2 linked regions of the Arabidopsis thaliana genome follow. The protein of the gene in region 2 interacts with the protein of the main gene of each other region in a biochemical or structural test. Each region holds a gene or a part of one and is shown on either strand. Other genes may lie near its edges.

Evidence for each region.
Region 1: of the proteins of KAT2 (region 2) and CPK13, one has a biochemical effect on the other in vitro, tested with the Arabidopsis thaliana proteins (one study listed by BioGRID).

The regions. Positions count from the first base shown.
Region 1 is NC_003074.8:19,230,612-19,236,703, forward strand, and holds CPK13 (calcium-dependent protein kinase 13), read left to right. Parts: upstream 1-1,746; 5' UTR 1,747-2,055; coding exon 2,056-2,680; intron 2,681-2,889; coding exon 2,890-3,033; intron 3,034-3,187; coding exon 3,188-3,340; intron 3,341-3,485; coding exon 3,486-3,601; intron 3,602-3,691; coding exon 3,692-3,859; coding exon of another isoform or gene 3,860-3,904; exon of another isoform or gene 3,905-3,920; intron 3,921-4,054; coding exon 4,055-4,285; coding exon of another isoform or gene 4,286-4,369; exon of another isoform or gene 4,370-4,497; intron 4,498-4,765; coding exon 4,766-4,915; 3' UTR 4,916-5,280; downstream 5,281-6,092. UniProt on the Arabidopsis thaliana protein: May play a role in signal transduction pathways that involve calcium as a second messenger.
Region 2 is NC_003075.7:10,113,092-10,119,443, forward strand, and holds KAT2 (potassium channel KAT1-like protein), read left to right. Parts: upstream 1-1,702; 5' UTR 1,703-2,293; coding exon 2,294-2,505; intron 2,506-2,602; coding exon 2,603-2,818; intron 2,819-2,912; coding exon 2,913-3,068; intron 3,069-3,167; coding exon 3,168-3,225; intron 3,226-3,314; coding exon 3,315-3,632; intron 3,633-3,755; coding exon 3,756-3,995; intron 3,996-4,093; coding exon 4,094-4,192; intron 4,193-4,283; coding exon 4,284-4,316; intron 4,317-4,407; coding exon 4,408-4,593; intron 4,594-4,695; coding exon 4,696-5,185; intron 5,186-5,267; coding exon 5,268-5,386; 3' UTR 5,387-5,561; downstream 5,562-6,352. Other genes in the region: AT4G18300 (Trimeric LpxA-like enzyme), read left to right, coding at 5,761-6,352. UniProt on the Arabidopsis thaliana protein: Highly selective inward-rectifying potassium channel. This voltage-dependent channel could mediate long-term potassium influx into guard cells leading to stomatal opening.

The DNA of each region.
Region 1 (6,092 bases), on a different chromosome or scaffold from region 2:
TACAAATTGATCTGTCTAGACATCTTATCTTCTTTATTCATGGCAAGTCTTTGGTACTACTATACGTGTGATGTGAACGCATTTCAGATAAGTTAAGTAGATATATATCTTGTTGTATGTGTGAATGCATCTCCACATCTTGAGATTTGGTTGGTTAACATTGGGTTAAATGTGAACGCGTCTTTGGAATAGTATATAATAATAATTTAGACGCGCGTTTGTTAACTTTCAAACATTTTTGTGAACCACGCTCCACCAAATAAGACATGTGGTGGACGTTGCAACTAGATTTACGCATCTTGATGGGTTTCCAAAAATGGTAAGTAGAAATTGGTTTTCTCTCAAAAGCACCATTATTTAGGGTTTGGGAATGAAAAAAGTTTGTATCTTTATCGTTATGATTTTACTCATGCTAAACCAAAGGTTTCTTCATCGCGTTTTGGACTTCGTCTTATCTACCGCCCTATGTGTTACATGATACGACATATATGATACCCAGAAAAAAATTCATGTGTGCGGGACAAAAAGCCTCAGATGACTTTTGATTTTGAAAAACTATGATCATTTTTAAAAAAGTTGTAGAAATTAAATCATTTTGAACTATTCGATGCAACCAACCTATCTAAAAATGAAGTAAATTCCGCAATTTTAGATAGATGGACATCCTCAGATCACATCCATTTAAACTACCATAATACACGTAGATGGCTCTAGACCTCTAGTAGAAGATATGATACTACTATCTTTGATATGTCGACATTGGAAGATACATTTTACACCGTAGAGCTTTGTGGATATTTCGAAAGTAATTAGTGTATAATTCAAATCAATTAAATTTAGATATATAAATGTACCATTCTAATGCAAATCCTTTATAACAAAAAAAAAAAGGACTTTCCCAAAGGCCAAACAAATGATTGTTGACATTGACCACACGATCGTTTAGAAACATCACAAATTTTCAATCTCCTCCTAGTCTCCTAGGCTCATACCACTTACGTTCGCATGTTACATACCTTTTTTGAAATGGCCAGCTCATTTTTGATCAAATGAATACTGGATTTACAATGGGAAAAAATTCTGCATCTATGTTCTTAGATTTACAAAATAAACTAGAAATGTTCGTTTTAGTATTTTCTTTCTATGAAATAACTTGTTGTTTTATGAATTATGAGTCTAAAAATGGCATATTAGAACCAAAAAAGATTAGCACATGACATTTCAAAATCTTAAATGGTAACATTTTCAAGATTTTTATTCTATCATTAGTTGTTTCTATCATGACATTTCAAAATCTTAAATGGCATATTAGAACCAAAAAATTATTTGTTTTATTTTGTACGTACAATTACCATATTTTTATTCATTGTCATAGTTGTTCAGGTGGATCTTAGATATTTCAAAGTATAAAATTTGTGATCGTATTTTAGATGATTACACACATATCACATATGTAATGCACATAATATTTCCAAATTAAAGGTAAAATATTATTTTTACCGGAGTATGTATATATTCAATCCAGATTATTTTTAAAAAATTAGATTTTTTTTGAATGATCAGTCTTATCAAGAATTCAAAAGATAGTGTTGTTGTCAATCAAAATTACTAAAAGAAAATTGTTTAGTCAACATATATACGTACCTTAATAAATATTTTTCTTAGAATCTAAAGGAATTTACAGATGTTAAAATAAAATCCAATAAAGTGTAAATTTACCAAACAAGTAAAGACCATTTTTCAAAAAGAAAAAGAAACCAAGGAGACCAAATTATGATTGAGTTTTACAAAATACAGAAAATAAAGAAATTAAATAAATATCAAAAACTCAAAAGAGACCTCTCTTCTCTCTCTCTCTCTCTCTCTCGCTACTCTCATCTTCACCGTACGCTTCTTCGATCTACGCTTCTCTCTAGCTATAGCTTCCATTGTCACGATTCCTCCCAAAGCGTAGAATGTGGAACCCTAGATACCTCAAATTCAGCTAGAGATCTATCTACTTTCACCTCTATTACTTTCTACTTCTGAAACCCCTCATCAGAGCTACACACAGTGATGGGAAACTGTTGCAGATCTCCCGCAGCAGTTGCTAGAGAAGACGTGAAATCCAACTATTCCGGCCACGATCACGCCCGCAAAGACGCCGCCGGCGGTAAAAAATCGGCGCCGATTCGAGTTCTAAGCGATGTTCCCAAGGAAAACATCGAGGACCGTTACTTACTCGACAGAGAACTCGGCCGCGGCGAGTTTGGTGTCACTTACCTCTGTATCGAGAGGTCCTCGCGTGACCTACTCGCTTGCAAATCGATCTCCAAGAGGAAGCTTAGAACTGCTGTGGATATTGAAGATGTTAAAAGAGAAGTAGCGATTATGAAGCATTTGCCTAAGAGTTCGAGTATTGTTACTTTGAAAGAAGCTTGTGAGGATGATAATGCTGTGCATTTGGTTATGGAGCTTTGTGAAGGTGGCGAGCTTTTCGATCGGATTGTTGCGAGAGGTCATTATACGGAGCGTGCTGCTGCTGGTGTTACTAAGACTATTGTTGAGGTTGTGCAGCTTTGTCATAAGCATGGTGTGATTCATAGAGATTTGAAGCCCGAGAACTTTTTGTTTGCTAATAAGAAGGAGAACTCGCCTTTGAAAGCTATTGATTTTGGATTGTCGATTTTCTTCAAGCCAGGTCTGTTACTGCTTTTGATTTTAAAGTAGATTTCAATTCTCTAGCTTTTATTGTTGATTATTAGTGTTGTTGTAGTGGAATACTGGGTCATAGAGGGAGCTTCTAGTTTATTGTAGGATTTATGTTTCTTGATTGATACATACCTTTGATGTATTTTGACCAGTTTATTTGGTGTTGATGCTGTTTTTGTAATGCTTACATATGACCAGGTGAGAAATTCTCTGAGATTGTTGGGAGTCCATATTACATGGCACCTGAGGTGCTTAAGCGGAATTATGGACCCGAAATAGATATTTGGAGTGCTGGAGTGATTCTTTATATTCTCTTGTGTGGAGTTCCTCCGTTCTGGGCAGGTCTGTTAACCCCTTCCTCTCTTCTCTAGTCTTTCGATTTCCTCTGCCGGAGCATTTGCTAGTTTTTCGATTCCTCTGCCGGATTCTTATAATACCTTAGCATGCTAGTCTTTTGTAAATTGTAGTTTCAGCCAGTTTTTTCTTTGAACCACAGAGTCAGAACAGGGAGTTGCTCAGGCTATTCTGCGTGGAGTAATTGATTTTAAGAGGGAACCGTGGCCAAACATTTCTGAGACCGCTAAGAATCTAGTCAGACAAATGTTAGAGCCTGATCCAAAGCGTCGGCTGACTGCAAAGCAAGTGCTTGGTACATAGAAGCTACCTTTGCCTTATGCTCTTTCTCTCTGCATCTGTTATTATCTCTTTTCCCAATTACTTCACTGATCTGGAGATACTCCAAAAGATTTTTTTTATGCTTATTCCTGCTTTTGTTATTGTTTCTCATTTGCTAGAGCACCCATGGATTCAGAACGCAAAGAAAGCTCCCAATGTTCCTCTTGGAGATGTTGTGAAGTCGAGGTTGAAGCAATTTTCAGTGATGAACCGATTCAAGAGAAAAGCTTTAAGGGTTTGTTTATCTGATAAACTCTCATTCTTAATTACTTGCATGAGTCACTTCTTAAACGGAAGATATCTTTACTAATCTTATTCAAACCAGGTTATTGCCGAATTTTTATCTACGGAAGAAGTAGAAGACATCAAAGTAATGTTCAACAAGATGGATACTGATAATGATGGTATAGTTTCCATTGAGGAGTTGAAAGCCGGACTTCGTGATTTTAGTACACAGCTAGCGGAATCAGAAGTTCAGATGCTTATTGAAGCGGTGCACATATCTTTCCCTTCTACATCACCGTACATTTATTACTGATTGCTTGACTGAAGAAGTAGAGTCAAACTTCTTTTTGCATGATCTTATCATTCACTTCCCGCTTAATTTTTCAGTGATCTTTTTTTGTTCACGTTCACTATCCAGGTTCACTAAAATATTGTCTTGATAATTCAAATTTGTATAAAACAGGTGGATACTAAAGGAAAAGGAACTCTAGACTATGGAGAATTTGTAGCAGTGTCTCTCCACCTGCAAAAGGTAGCAAACGATGAGCATCTCCGCAAAGCCTTCTCTTACTTTGACAAGGATGGAAATGGGTACATTTTGCCCCAGGAGCTTTGTGACGCCTTAAAGGAAGATGGAGGAGATGACTGTGTGGATGTCGCCAATGATATATTCCAAGAAGTTGACACAGACAAGGTAAGTGTCAAATCTTCTGTCTATGGTATGATCTCATCATGTTCAAAAGAAACTCAAAAGAGCTTTCTTTTGCAAGAGTGTTAGGAAACCAAAGTTGTGAGGAAGTCCTAAAAAGGCACAAAGGACAGGAGATGTGACTTTAAATCTTTTTTCTTTTTGCGCTATTTGTTTGATGATAACCAAACCATTTGAATTTACAGTTTTACACATAGGTAATGGAAACATGCTTTGCAAAAAGTTCTTAAAAGCCTGAGGACAAAACATGTAGCTTTAAACACTTTTTTTCAGTTTTATTCTTTTGGCATTTGTCTGTTGTGTAAGCGGTCCCCATAAACTAAAGGCAAAAATGATTTCTCTGTTGTAGTGGAAATACTATCTGTAGAGAGTTCACTTCTCATATCGTTAAACAGAACCTTAGAGACTATAGTTAGTGTAAAAATGTTTCTTCTGGTTGTGCCTGACATGGATTTTTGACATTAGGATGGGAGAATAAGCTACGAAGAGTTTGCGGCAATGATGAAAACAGGAACGGATTGGAGAAAGGCGTCTCGTCATTACTCAAGAGGGAGATTCAATAGCCTAAGCATCAAGCTAATGAAGGACGGGTCTTTGAACCTAGGCAACGAATAGCGAATCAAAGTGAAGAAGCCGCAATAGGGTCTTTAGTGTCTGTCTCTCACGCCACGTTCTCGTGCACGTCAAGTATTAAACCAAGAGAAGGTAAAACTTGGGATTCAGAATTCATATCTTTTTGTACATCTTTCGTTTTTTAACCTTTCTATTTTTGGTGATTATGTTATCTGTGTTCTTTTTTTTATTGGTTTATGGGTTGAGTTGTGTTTGTTTAGTTTGTTCTGGTAGAAATCCAAAAGACATGAGAATCAGTGTTTGATGTGTAGAAGGAAAAAAAACCAAAGACCATTTCTGGTAATGATGTTGTAATATTCTTTTGTCTTCCTTAACCTCTATAATGATATGATGAGTCATTCACACAACCCTATCCTCTATTTTGCGCAAAGTTCTAAGCGATGATGACTTTGTATCAATCGGTAATATAATGACGCTTGTTTCAAATCAAACACGAAAGCTACCTAGTACCTACTTTTTCCCATCTCAGCTCTGAGTATCAACATCAGTGATTACACTAGCAATCCCTGCATTATTGACCTGCAAACCAAATCAAATAATCACTCAACGTTATACAAGAATCTTAACCAACTCTTATGAGCCTTTCTTTATTGGAGATCAATCACTTATCTGATAGGAACAAATTAACCACAAAAGGGACTTGCTTTCTTGTCAAAAGGTTACCAGTAACATCCTAGCTAGTGCCAATCGTTTTCAACAAGATTTGAGATTTTAGATGCTAAATCCAAAACCTATTTCATACTAAGTAAACTGATAGAGGATTGTACTAATCATACCAAGATATCCAAGTTTTCCAATTTTAGTATTCACAAATCTGTATGTAAAGAGTTGTGACACATGGAGCCGATGAATTATGAAATATAATATTCTGATTATAAAGGCCTTTGTCTACAACTTCAAGTCCCTTTTTATCAGCTCTAGAGGTCAAAACTACGCTAATCATTTTGCTACCTAATTGTCTGCCAATATTTAGCCCAATCCCTCTGTGTGCAGCAGAAACTATATCACTAGGTTATTGCCTTATTGGATTGGATATTTGCATTGCATTTTAGAATCCAATTACAATGTTGTGTTATTCAATCAATAATTTACATATTTAAATTGACAATGCTGTATTTCACAATTATTAGTTATATTTTGGTGTTATTCAATTTATGAT
Region 2 (6,352 bases):
ATCATGATAAAACAATATAAGTAAAAGACCAAAACGAAAACGCAAAGTGAATCCTCTTCTCTTTTTACTCCTATAAAATTTGAAAGTAAATTGATTTTAAAAATTAAACATTGACTAATCACTTACACGTCCAGATCTGTTGTCTAGTATAAGACCACCATAAATTAACCAACGTTATTATTTTTATATTAGAAATCAAAATCAAACATTTGCAAAATATCGGTTTAGTGTTCTCTCAGTCAAATAGTCACAAATGCATGTCACCTATAATATGGGTTGCGACTTCTAAGTCGAAAACTGTGTTTCCCCCATTGAAAAATAACGACAAAAAATATTGAATCATTTGGACCCAATGTCTCTTTTTGCATGTGCAAGATTTAACCGATTTTTGTTGCTTTTTCATCATATTTAACCGATTCTTAGACCGAGTGGTGGGTTTTTTTGTTTGCAAACATTCTTGTATTTCATTTATTTTATCTCCAAAGGATCAAAGTTTACAAGATCTTCAACCAAGAGGTTGGTACAATAACTTCAAGAAAGTGAAAACTTACAACATGAAAAGAGAAAGATAAGCCATAGAGAATTAGAGACAGAGGCTAACTAGCAGCATGCCACAAACAAACTCATAAACCGAGTGGTGGTTATAGTTCAGATTAATAGAAATTTAGATAATGTGCTACTTCCACAGAAAGAATGGCAAGCGAAGAGAATTAAAATCAGTTCGATTTTTTTAATTTGTTACGTCTTCTTTTCTTAAATATTCCAAATGTTAGTTAAACCATCTAAAAAGATCTGCAGGCAAAATTTGTCTCTAGTGAAATTTTAAATTTATTAAGGATATTTCTATGAAAAAGCATTATGAATTAAGGAAAAAATAGAACATGGTAGTTTTTAACAGAATGTAAGTAGTATTCTGATTTTATTTTTATTTTGTAAATTTTTTATAAAAAAAAGAAGAAGAGAAAAATATAGACAAACATCATACGTAATAATACTTTTCGATATAATCTTATTTAAGAAAATTTCCCTAATTGAGAAAACATTATCACCGAAATTATAGACTATAACATCATGTACGTTTTGATTGTTACTAGTACTACTTCAATCAGTTTCCATTATAATTTATAGTGTGAAACAGAATTTGTTTGTCTGCTTTAACTATCTAATTAGTATTTTTTTTGTTCTTTCCATGTCGTGACAGATTCTCTGATTGGATGTTTTTTTGGTGTGTCAATTCGCTGATTAGATGTTTACGCGTAATTAAGGATTAATCTTTCTAAATTAAAATCAACGAACGGTCTATATAAGTTTTCCAGGTAAAACACACAATGGCACAAAAAATATCAAACAAAACGTAAATCAAGACACTAAAAGTTAATAATAATCATTATATATAAATAAAAAACTAACCTGAATCAAAAACAAGAAACAACAAATGTGGAACTGGAAACCTATATTGGTCCACGTGTCATCATTACATATTAGCTGTCCAGGTAAAGAATCTGAGAATTGGTTTTCTTGTAGCTAACATCTTTGTTAAACCGCTCAACATTTTAGTTTTACCAAAAGAGAATTCAATTAAGCAGTGTTTTTCAAATTATTGTAAAGTATTTGATCTACTTAACGAATAGTGGAATATTTACTTGTATCTTTCTCCCTTTTGGCCCTTACAAAATTCTATTCTGACCATCTTTTCTTTTTTCCCCTTACTTGGTCCATTTCTAGATTCCTGTAACAAAAACACCTAAATTTTGCCATTAAATCACACATTTGTGTCATTGTGTGGATGCATATATATATATTAGCCTCAAATGCTAAGTAAATGGATATCCCACCACAGTCACAATCTCATCAAGTCCATTACCACATTCCGTCTTTCTTCTTCTTCCTCTCTCTATATTTCAAATCTTTACTTCCTATCAGAAGCAGAAACTCTGTAAAATCTCAATGTCTGCCACTTAATTATACATCTTACCAAACGTGAAACTCGATTCTTATTTCACCTTCTTAATCATTTTCTTGTGTAAGCCTTCTTTGTGGGTTTTTGCAGCATTAATGGTGCACTAAAGTTTGTGCAAAACAGTTAAAACCTTCCCCTGCAAAGCCAAAAACAAAAATTCGTTTTTTTCCCTTCTCCTTTTTTAGAAAACGATAAGAAATGGGTCAGGGCAAGTTGATGTTGTAAAAGTCAGAACCACAACGTGAGAGAGAGAGAGAGAGAAAGAAAGCAAAAAAAGTTCGTTAGCTTGTGAAACTTGTCACAAGTTTCATCACTATATTTATAACTAACCTTATGTTGAAGAGAAAGCACCTCAACACAAGACCAATGTCAATCTCTTGTACCAGAAACTTCTTCAAACGATTCTGCGTCGAAGAATACAATATGGATACATTCAAACATAGCAGTTTCCTCTCTGCTGATCTCTTACCATCTCTTGGAGCTAGAATAAACCAATCAACTAAGCTCCGTAAACACATCATCTCTCCTTTCGATCCACGTTTCAGGTGTTGTATATATCTTTCTTGCACATTTTCCTCGTTCTGTTCTGTTCTGTTTTTGTGTTTGTTGTCTTCTTGAGTTATGGCTTAATGTTGAATTCAGGGGATGGGAGATGTGGCTGGTCATTCTTGTGATTTACTCAGCTTGGATTTGTCCATTTGAGTTTGCCTTCATCACCTACAAGAAAGACGCACTTTTCATCATTGACAACATTGTCAATGGATTCTTTGCCATTGACATCATTCTCACCTTCTTCGTTGCTTATCTAGACAGCCACTCATATCTTCTAGTCGACAAACCTAAGAAAATAGCTATAAGGTGAACAACAAGTACATAATAAAGACAATGGTACGGTTTTTACGTATTTAAGGGAAGCATCATTTCTCATTTTTATTAATGAGTATGTTCTTAGGTACCTTTCTACTTGGTTCGCCTTTGATGTCTGCTCAACAGCTCCATTCCAGTCACTGAGTCTTCTGTTCAAATACAATGGAAGTGAAATAGGATTCAGAGTTCTTAGTATGCTCAGGCTCTGGCGTCTTAGACGAGTTAGCTCGCTGTTTGCAAGGTTCATTTTCAATACTAAACCATTTTCTTTCAAGTTTAGAAGACTTGCCATATGAAGAATCAACATAAAGCTTACTCTCTCATTTTTCCTCTGCTTCAGGCTTGAGAAAGATATCCGCTTCAACTATTTCTGGACACGATGCACAAAACTCATTTCGGTAAGTCTCAAAAACAGAGGAATTCTCATTTCTTTTCATCTATAAATGCTACTAGCTTACAAGTTACAACGTATACTTTTATATATCAGGTGACACTGTTTGCAGTACATTGTGCTGGATGCTTCGCCTACCTCATTGCAGATCAATATCATGATCCAACAAAAACATGGATTGGAGCTGTCTACCCAAATTTCAAGGAGACAAGCGTATGGAGTAGATATGTTACTGCTCTTTACTGGTCTATTACGACATTAACAACAACAGGTTATGGAGACTTACATGCTGAGAACCCAAGAGAAATGTTGTTCTTTGTGTTTTTCATGCTCTTCAACCTCGGTTTCACATCTTACCTCATAGGAAATATGACCAACCTTGTGGTTCACTGGACTAGCCGCACCAGAAACTTTGTAAGTTCAATAACTTTTCTTTCGACTTCACATCAATCTCTTATAACTATAACCTGCAAAAAAAAATATATATATATATATATTCATAGGTTAATAAGAAACCTGATTCTTTGAATTAAACAGAGAGATACTGTAAGAGCTGCTTCAGAGTTTGCATCAAGAAACCAACTCCCACCAAACATACAAGACCAAATGTTATCACACATTTGCTTAAAGTTTAAAACAGAGGGTCTGAAACAACAAGAAGCTTTAAATGGTTTGCCGAAAGCAATCCGGTCAAGCATTGCAAACTATCTCTTCTTCCCAATCGTTCAGAACGTCTACCTATTTCACGGAGTTTCTCGCAACTTCCTATTTCAGTTGGTAAAACACTCATTTGTTAACTCTTTCTTTGTCCATCTCTTTCTGTTATAATGTTCCATAAAGTTACCAACCAACTCGATATGCTTTTTCTGACCAAGGTTTCAGATATAGACGCCGAATATTTCCCACCAAGAGAAGATGTAATACTACAGAACGAAGCTCCTACTGACCTCTACATCCTAGTCTCAGGGGCAGTGGTGAGTGAATGAAATTTAAAATAAATAATTGTATAGGAATGTTGAAGTTACCTTCTAACATGTTTTACTCGCTCATGTGGTGATTGTGCAGGATTTTACTGTCTACGTTGGCGAAGAAGATCAGGTATGTGAACAATATATATCACCAAAAGAACTTCACTGTAGAACTCTTAGCTGAAAAAAGAGAAATGACTGTAATCCTCACATTCATGTAGGTTCAAGGCAAGGCGGTTGTTGGCGATGCATTTGGAGAGATTGGTGTGTTATGCTATACACCACAACCTTTCACAGTTAGGACAACAGAACTATCTCAGATACTACGGATAAGCAAAAAATCTCTAATGAGTGCTATGCGAGCTCATGTCGAAGATGGACGAGTCATAATGAACAACCTCTTCATGGTAAGTAAGAATGATATAACATCCTGGGAACTAATTTTATTTCAGAGATGTTTTCACAATGATGTTAATCAATACGAACTCATTTCATGATGATATATGTAGAAACTTAGAGGGCAACAATCAATAGCAATTGATGATCCAAATTCAGAACCAGAGTCACTTCTCAAGGAGTGGCTTGTTGGTGGTTCAAAGACAGGAGAAGGAAACGCTAGTGATCAAGGACATGGGCACAAATATTTACAACTGCATGATTCAGAAAATATTGATATGGGGTCAACTGAATGGAGAGATTCAAGAAGATCTGGTTATGGCGAAACGAAAAGAGTTCGAGAACATACGATAGAGATAGAAGAAGGAGAAAAACCAAATAAAGAGTTTGATGGAAAAGGTTGCTCTGATGCAGATCTTACCTCATTTGAATTTCATTCACAGGAAGCATATCCATATTGCAGATCAAACATCCAAATCAAACAACATGAAGCTGCAAAACCAAAAGATAAAAGAGTTACCATCCACTTGAAGTCCCGGGACAAAGATTTGTCGAAGCTGATAATCCTTCCTGCTTCCATAGAAGAGTTGCTAAGACTTGCAGGTAAGCTCTTTTACTTGTTAATTCTCTAAGAAACTACTGAACATAAGAAGGAAGTAAAGTAAACTAGAAAATTATGGTGCAGGTGAAAAATTTGGATACAGCTTCACAAAGGTCACGAATGCGGAAAACGCAGAAATAGATGATGAAGATGTGATTAGAGATGGTGATCATTTGTATATTCTCATCAATGAAAACTCTTAACAAGACTTTAGTAACCACTGTTTTCTTTCCATAGAGTGTATATGTATATCTGCAGGCAATGTAATGTTTTTTACTAGAAAAACATTTGATCATCAAAGAAGATCCTAGAGAACTTATAACTGGACAATGTTAATCCATCAGAATTCTGAATTTAACAGAGCATTTCCCGCGTAAACGTTTACATTCGAGTTTATATATATTGGGCCTTATTGGGCTTAGATGAGTTTAATTACTAATAAATGAGATTAGGCCTAGTTAATTATAAAATAAACATTTTTTCCCCTTAAAAAATTGTATCAAAGATTTTCTCATGCGAGGATTTGATTTTGAAGTCTGTCGTGAATTTTTCATTTCAATCGAATTTGATCGGAGATATGGGTGCTCAGAAGAAACCCGCGGCGGCTAAGGTTCGTGAGGATTCAGAGGATCTAAGTCGTCAACGATTACAAGCCATTCTTCTAGCCGACAGCTTCACCACTCAATTCCGTTCCATAACCCTAGAACGACCAAAGGTACTATTGCCGATAGTGAACATCCCGATGATTGATTACACTTTAGCATGGCTCGAATCAGCTGGGATCGAAGAGGTTTTTGTGTTCTGTTGTGCTCATTCGTCGCAGATCATCGATTACCTGAAGAAATCGGAATGGTACACACGCCCAAACCCAAACTTGTTGGTGAGAACGATAGTGTCTCACAATTCCACCAGTGTTGGAGATGCTCTGCGTTATATCTATGAACAACAGACAGAGACGTCGCAGATTCAAGGTGATTTTGTTCTTGTTAGTGGTGATACTGTTAGTAATATGCCACTTGCTGATTTGATTCAACAACATAGAGATAGGAAGAAGAAAGATGAGAAAGCTATCATGACTATGGTTTTTAAGAAGCAGTCTAGACTAGGAATAGGATCTGATCAACTCTTTGTTGCAGTAGATCCTTTAACGAAACAGCTTCTTCATTACG